2 linked regions of the Yarrowia lipolytica genome follow. The protein of the gene in region 2 interacts with the protein of the main gene of each other region in a pairwise test. Links are inferred from orthologs where the notes say so. Each region holds a gene or a part of one and is shown on either strand. Other genes may lie near its edges. The genes, in order: YALI1_A05220g and YALI1_E38491g.

The links.
Region 1: the proteins of YALI1_E38491g (region 2) and YALI1_A05220g interact in binary tests that used the Saccharomyces cerevisiae proteins (3 or more experiments, as listed by UniProt). The link is inferred for Yarrowia lipolytica from reciprocal best matches to the Saccharomyces cerevisiae genes MSS51 and COA3.

The regions. Positions count from the first base shown.
Region 1 is NC_090770.1:521,135-524,671, reverse strand, and holds YALI1_A05220g (uncharacterized protein), read left to right. Parts: upstream 1-1,910; coding exon 1,911-1,981; intron 1,982-2,597; coding exon 2,598-2,847; downstream 2,848-3,537. Other genes in the region: YALI1_A05254g (uncharacterized protein), read left to right, coding at 1-600; YALI1_A05229g (uncharacterized protein), read right to left, coding at 869-1,726. UniProt on the Saccharomyces cerevisiae protein: Required for assembly of cytochrome c oxidase (complex IV). With COX14, negatively regulates COX1 translation and is involved in MSS51 association with newly synthesized COX1.
Region 2 is NC_090774.1:3,847,030-3,850,943, reverse strand, and holds YALI1_E38491g (uncharacterized protein), read right to left. Parts: upstream 1,799-3,914; coding exon 509-1,798; downstream 1-508. Other genes in the region: YALI1_E38479g (uncharacterized protein), read left to right, coding at 3,049-3,914. UniProt on the Saccharomyces cerevisiae protein: Has a dual role in the assembly of cytochrome oxidase subunit 1 (COX1). It has a regulative function on COX1 synthesis, acting as a translational activator specific for the COX1 mRNA, and it also binds to newly synthesized COX1 protein.

The sequences.
Region 1 (3,537 bases), on a different chromosome or scaffold from region 2:
GAACGACTGCAGCTGGAGGCCGACCAAGCCCGTGTCCAGCATCTCATGGACACCATGGAGGACCACGAGGACAAGCAGATGGATTACTCGTCCGAGGAGGAAGAGGAGGAGGCCTCTGATGAGGAACTCGAGGGCGGTAGCGTCGGTCTGTCTATCAACGCGCCTGCCAAGGAGAAGCGAAAGAGCATGGCTAAGCGACGACAGATGCGAGAACACAAGGAAAAGGAACGAATTCGAAAACAAATGAAGATGGAGATGAAGAAGATTCATGAGAAGATGCAACAGCTCGCCAAGCGGTCCGAGAAGTCCGAGCAGGAGAAGCAGGATCTCAAGGATCTCATTGCAGGAGGCGAGGCTGCCGAGAAGGTGCGAACCCGTCGGTACGGCAAATACGAAATTCTGGAGCCCACTCTCGATGTCAAGCTCTCAGGCGAGCTCACAGACTCTCTTCGACGACTCAAGCCCGAGGGATCGTTGATGCGAGACCGGTTCCGATCGCTGCAGCAGCGAGGAAAGATCGAGGCTCGAAAGCGACACAACCTCAAGCCCCGATACAAGAAGAAGGTGACCGAGAAGTGGTCTTTCAAGGACTTCAAATAGATGCAGATGGGATGGAATTAGTGAAAAGTAATATATTTTGGATTATACAGGATGTCAAGGTGAGATATTGGTATTGCGATACGACTACTGTATGTACAGGTACAGTGGTAATGGGTCTAATCATTTATGCGGAGCGAACGAGTTACTGTAGAGCAGACAATCTACAATTAGGACGGAAGAGATCTTCTACACTTATAAATCTGATTTTAAATAAATGCAATAAATATATAATACAGTAAACATAGTCGTGCAGTCACGATTTTTCGCTCTAAAATCCATACTTTGCTCCACTCTCCTTTTGGGTAAGGCGATTCTGAGAGTATGACGCCTCCAGCTGCTCCTTGTTGTCCTGGGCTTGTCGCAACAGACTGGTGATCTGGTGCTTGCCTCCTCCAATGGCCGTAAGAGGTCGCTTGTACTCGTCAAGCTTTCCTTCGGCCTTGAGTCTTTCCGATTCCTCCGTGAAAGCGTCCACTGAGAACTCGTGGATGTTGTCATTCGCCAGATTCTCAAATTCTCGATCTTTGCTTCGATTCTTGGGCCGAGGCGCTGCATCCAGCGTTTGGGCATGTGTTTTTTCAGAAACTACAATAATCGGTGGCTCAGCCACTTGTGTAACATTGTCCCCAATAGCCTGTGGCTTGATGATCTCGACCTTGGTGTCTTCCCTTACTTCCTTCTCCTGCTGGGCTCGCAAATTAAACAGGTTTCCGAGGCGTTTCGGAGCAGTTTGAGTCTCAGTTGTCGTTGAGTCCGCAGCCGCATCACCAGCAATAGTATCTACAACCGCAGTCTCTACAACCACAGTCTTTCCATCCGCCCCAACCGACTGGCCCTTGGCAGCTCGCTTTTCGGCTCTCAGCCGTTTTCGGACCGAGTTGGGCACCATTGTCTGCTTGTAAGATGCAGCGGTATTCACGGGGGACTCTGTCTGAGCCGGAGTCTTTTCCACCGCAGTTTCCTCTGTGCTAGTCTTGAGCTCTTCCTCTTTCTCAGTCAGCTTTTCAGGAACAGCAGTCGGGGTGTCCGTGGCGGAGCCCGCTCTGTCTGGAGACGCCGCTTTCTTAACGGGCTTGTTTCCCAACGCGCTGAACCGTTTCTTGTGTCGCAGTTGAATTTTTGCCATTGTCGCACTGATTCAGGAATCTTTTCAAAATCTTTTGGCCCATCACCACATATCCAGGAGAGCGCATCCTGTATGCAATGAAGTTACCCTACCTGTTCGCCTTGTCTCCAAACTCAAAATCTCATGAGGTCAAAATCTCACCACCCAAGGGCTCATATCACACACACCCACACATCACAGAAACATGTCTCAGGATCCCCATAACGGAAAGGGCACCTTTGAGGTGCACAAGCAACCCCAGCCCGGTCTCAAAGTGTGAGTATCACGACAATCGAGAGATTGACACGCCATGATATGTGTCGTAATCAGAGACAGGAGGTGGCTGCGACACTCAGGCAGTGTTGGCGGTGGAGGTTGGATTCGGGTGGCTAATGGTGGACGGGAGTGTGAAGAGAAGTTGTGGTTGAAATGGGCTATTTGAAGAGACGTGTTTGGTTGGTATTCCCCAAAGCGACTTGCAATCAAACTACCAATCTCACTCTCTTCAAGACACTACAGCTGCGTGCGACGATCAGAGCCACTGATCTCTCAATGCAACTCTGGGTTCAGTATCTACACGGACATTTTGTGACCAGGACAACACCGTGAATGAGAAATGTGTCTCCTTCATCCTTCTCTTCTCCAGAAAATCTACACGTTGTCTTGCTTGTGACAGACCCGTTTGAACTCTGCATTGCTGTGGCTAGCCACATGCCGCAACCAGCCAATCAATTGCTACAGCAAGCAGCACGTCGGTTTTATCACAACTACACCCTCTAAACTTTCGATGGTATCTTGAAGGACCTACTCCTGACCTCTGACCTCTGACCTCTGACCTCTGACCTCTGACCCCTGACCTTCGACCATGCTCGACCGTTCCATTCTAACACAGTTTCCGAAAGGGCAAGTACATTGACCCCAAGACCTTCCAGATGTCCCCCGCTCTGATTCGGGCCCGACGACCCTTCTTTGTGCGAAACATGCTCGCTCTGGCCGGCCTCACCGGTTTTGTCGCCGGTATCTACGGATACACCATGTACTCTCTGCGTACCGACGACTTTGGCGATGTGCCTATTCCTCCTCTTGATCCCGAAGAGATCAAGAAGCTCCAGAGCAAGTACAGCGACGACTCCAAGGCCTAGGTCTTTTGTATATATGTAAATAGTAAATTATTCTGACTGAGCACTGCGGGACTGACTGACCGTAATCAGGTCAGAAGTGCACCCAATGAGCTGTCTCATTGTGATTGTAGGTACGAGTAGACGACAATATAAGAACTCTACTCGTACCGGCACAACTGCGACCAGATACCATGTCCATCAGTTCTACTACTTGTAGCTGCCTGAAGATATGGTGCATACTGTAGAGCATGTAGGCATGTAGTGTTCGCTAGAGTAGGAACTGGACCCACTAACGTGGCCAATTGTAGTCGATGAGAGTTATATTGAACGAACAAGTGGAATTAACCACAAAATGTGTACTATCCTATCACCTCTATTTCATGTGAATGGTTTTATCTTGGGCGGTCGTCCAAACAAATATTCAAGTATCAGGTCAACTAAAAATTCCATAAAGTCAACTAAAATCCAAACTTAGTTTTGGATGACTGCTTCGTGCTAAACCAAAAATAGACTTTGAAAAGCAAGCTGGACCCTTACATGAGAGCAAAAGGGCGAGGTGATTGGGAGCGTCATTTGTGGCAGTTTTTGGACCACAAATCTTTTGAAAAATTATTTTGTGAGCTATAATCATGTGACTAGAATTGATTTCCGTTGTTTCCCCGATTGTATCGATTAAATCCAAATTATTCGCACTAAATAAGTGTCTTTAAT
Region 2 (3,914 bases):
GAGATGGGTATATTGAGGGTGATGCGGTGACAGGTGGGGTTGAACTATTGATGTCTGTCCCAGATACTCTAGCATCCAGTCTACAACTCTGAAAACACCTTTTGGACGGGTTGATGACCTTTTCCAAACACTGCTCTGAGATCGGAATCTGACTAATGGTAACTAACACAACCGGAAAGTATCATTTAGCAGGTCTATGATTGAACCGATGAAACTGGGAAATTATTGTTAATTTATTGCATTGAGTAGAGAAAGTACGGCAGAAGTGTTAAAAGTTGTATATACCATTCATTGGTTCTGTATAATGTTTCTAATGAGTAAAGTTGGTGTAATTACTTTGTAGTATACATGATACAACCCCTTGGTATGTATGTACAGTAAAACTGCAGAGCTTGGTCAAATAAGTACTGTTTTTACTACAATTCAGTCAGTGGTTTGGTGAGAGCTGCTCATCTTCCTCGCTCTTCTTCCTCATTTCATCTGTCATAATATTCACGCCCTATGTACATTACTGGGGAATGGCGTGGTATCGCTTGCCTCGGAAAGCAAACATTTGCTGGTTAAACTGGTAAACCTCCGTAGAATTGAGATCGTTGAGCTCCCACTTGGTCGAGCCAAAGATGTTCTCTGAGGGCTCCAGCAGCACGTCCAGCTTGGAGCCAAACTTGTCCATCAGCCAGTTCCAGTCTCGCTCAAGGTCATCCTTGTGGAAACCGGTGGAGAAGATGGCACACTTGGACTCCAGCAGACCGGGCAACGACTTGGCCCACTGATCCATGGCCTCGGGGGCTCCCAGACCGGGGTGGAACAGGAAGAATGCATCCAGGTAGGGGTCGTAAGGGAAGAAATCATGAGCCTCGTGGAGCACATGGAAGTAGTCCGAGTAGAACTTGAAGGTCATGGTGTCGTCGATCTTCATCTCCACGGGTCGCGAGTGCTGCACGTACTGGTGCTTGTCTCGGTCGTAGTAGGCCTCAGGACCAATGAAGTACAGCTCCCACTTGGCGGTAGGGATGAGATACGAGAGCTGTTTCCACACGTGGGGGGGCAGCTGGGACTCGGCTCGGGCGCCCAGAATGAACAATCGGATGGGTCGATCGTTCAGAGCACGGGACTTGTCGATGGGGAACAGAGAGTATCGCAGAGCAGCCAGGGATTTGAGACCCTCGAGGGTCAGAGGACCGTTAGGCTTGAGAGCGTAAGGGGACATTGTGTGCAGCACGGAGCCGATTGTGACGGGGTATGACAGCATCTTGGTCACGGCTGCCATCTGGAACTCGGTATCCATGGAGTAAAAGTCTCGGGTGTACAGAAACAGATCCCAGTTCATGAAGTTGACAGTGTCATCCTTGTCCTGAGCTCCGGGGAGATCAAACTCGGGGAAATCTCGACCGGATCGCAGATCATGCTCGTAGATGTTGGCCATGAAAAGCTTTTCGGCCTTGTTTTGCTCTTGGAACGTCGCATCCGACTCGTAGGCCTCTCTGCTGTGATGGGTGGGGATTCCGGACTTGGGACAGACGTATCGCACGTCCTCGCCGGTCACGGGACACTTGGAACGGGCGCGGATCACCGCGGCCCGCTCCCGAATATCCTGGTTGGGTGACTGGTCCCACAGATGGAACCGGTTCTCGGGGGTCGGATCATTTTCATTGCCGCTGTCGTCCAGACCAATTGTCTGTTTGAGAAACTTGAGCATGCCTCTCTGCTGCTGGACGGCGCCGGCGAGTGGGCGAGAAGCGCACACCAGCCCTGCTGCTCGCACAGACACTCGTGGACAGATTCGTGTCGAGAACATGTATGTATGTGGTTTGGTTGTAGGTGAGGAAGGGCCGAAAATATGACCAGATTTGACTCTGAGTTTATTTGAGGAGGGAGAAAATGAGAAGGCGAAAAAGGAGGTACCAATGGCGAAATATGGGCTGTTTGGGGTTGATGGAGGTGTAAAAACGGTAGTAGAAAAGATTCACTGCTTAAAAACACCGATTTTAACGCTATTGACAAAATCTTCACTCACTTGCTCTGATACTTGTGGCCCTTCCTGCGCCACTATTAGCCACAACTCTAAATTTTCAGACGCCACATTTGGAAAGGAGGAGAGCCGATTTGACATGGCAGTATGTACACTGCTACAGTACGAATCCTCTCCAGTCGACTCATACATCAATGTATGTCTCTGCTAGGCTAGATAGTCTGATTAGTCATACCGGCCCTGTATGCGTTTACTAATACCTCCTGGATCGTACCATGTTTTATACAAGGGTGGCTACGTAAAACGTGGTCCATCTTCTGGTGCTCAATGACGTACAGTCAATCTTAGGCCAACTTCCACTTCCACTTGATAGAAGGGTTTTGCATTGGACCGAGTGTCGGAGTGGGCAATAAGTCACATGACCTCTCAGCGGCCCGTCGTGAGTGCATTTGCACTTAGTAATACCCCTTCTTGTAGCTTGAGCGCATATATAGGACCATTTTCTTTTTTCCAGTGGAGCCAAATAGCTACGATACTTGAACCAGTACGAGCACGACTACATACTGTAGTGGTGGTGTTTATGTACATAATATGACGGTTTAGGACGTTGTGAGACACTTTAGAGAGCAATATATTACTAATACGTCTGTAAATAGCCCATTTTAAGATCTCACTGTTCCCGTTCAACAAAATCCACCACAGCAGCTGTCATCGGCGTTGATCCAGCTCTCACCTCTATTTGTTGATGTTACACGGCACAGTATACGCCGCTGCAATACTGTAGTTATGGTGGCGTTGAGCCGCCAGTTGATATTTTAGCTGTATTACTGTGTACTACTGAAAAAGAAGCATCCAGATAGTAGTATAAGTGAGTCGTCGTCGTATAGTCGTCCCCGTTCTCATATAACCAGCTAATATAGTACGAGTATCATACTACTATCATATTTTTCATCTGAATATATTGGTGACCCTAAACACAGTTTGCTCACTCCGCCCCAACAACCCTAACCCCAGTTCCAGGTACTTTATCGCGAACCCGGCTTCATCACGTGCCTAAAGTTGCCAACTGCCAGCACATGCCTTCGATCAACATTCTCTGTTCGTCTGCTCTGCCGTTTGTGCCTACCAAGTTCCAGATAGATGCTCATGAGCATGAGACGGTTCTGGTGGTCAAAAAACGGCTTTGCCAGAAACTGGTCGAGTTACAGAGACAGGGAAGTGTCGAAACGTCCACAGAGTCTTACAACCGAGAACAGGAGCATTTGGGCAACCCGGGCAATCTGAAGCTGATTTTCGGAGGAAAGATCTTGCCCGACGCCAATGAACTGCCCAATTTGGCGGCCACAAACCCCACGTTCCATCTTCATTTGCTGCCTGTTTCCCTCGACAAGGAGAAACTGAGCATTATTGAGAGGTTTCGAAGAGGAAGCACTAGTAAGGGCGATGCGAATGGAGGAGCAGAGAGTTCTGGATCGACACCAGCGGAGTCTCAGACCATGTACAACGTCCGACTACTTTCGAATCAAGCAAAGCCCACGATTCACTACAACGTCCAGCAACAGAGTCTGTACAACATGGACGGTGAGGCGTCTCTTGCTGACCTGAAGCATCTGCTCATCAACTCTCTGGGCAATGACACTGCTGTCAAGTCGCTGGATTTGGCTATTCAGCGCAAGTTTGTGGTCTTCAACTCCAAGGGCCAAGATTTCTCAGACGACACCATGAAGGTCAAGGATATCAACAACTTTGGGCGTCCTCCTCACTCGCAAGGCACGAACGTGGTGATATTTTACCGGTTTGTCCTCGGCGAATTCGAGGAGTACCAGATGGAGGGTGAGAACGAGGTGCTTGAGAAGCCTGCTGAGGCTCAATCAACCCCCGTCAAGTCCAACAACCCTTTCAACAAGGAGGTTCAGCAGCAGCAGCAGCAGCAGCAGCAAGT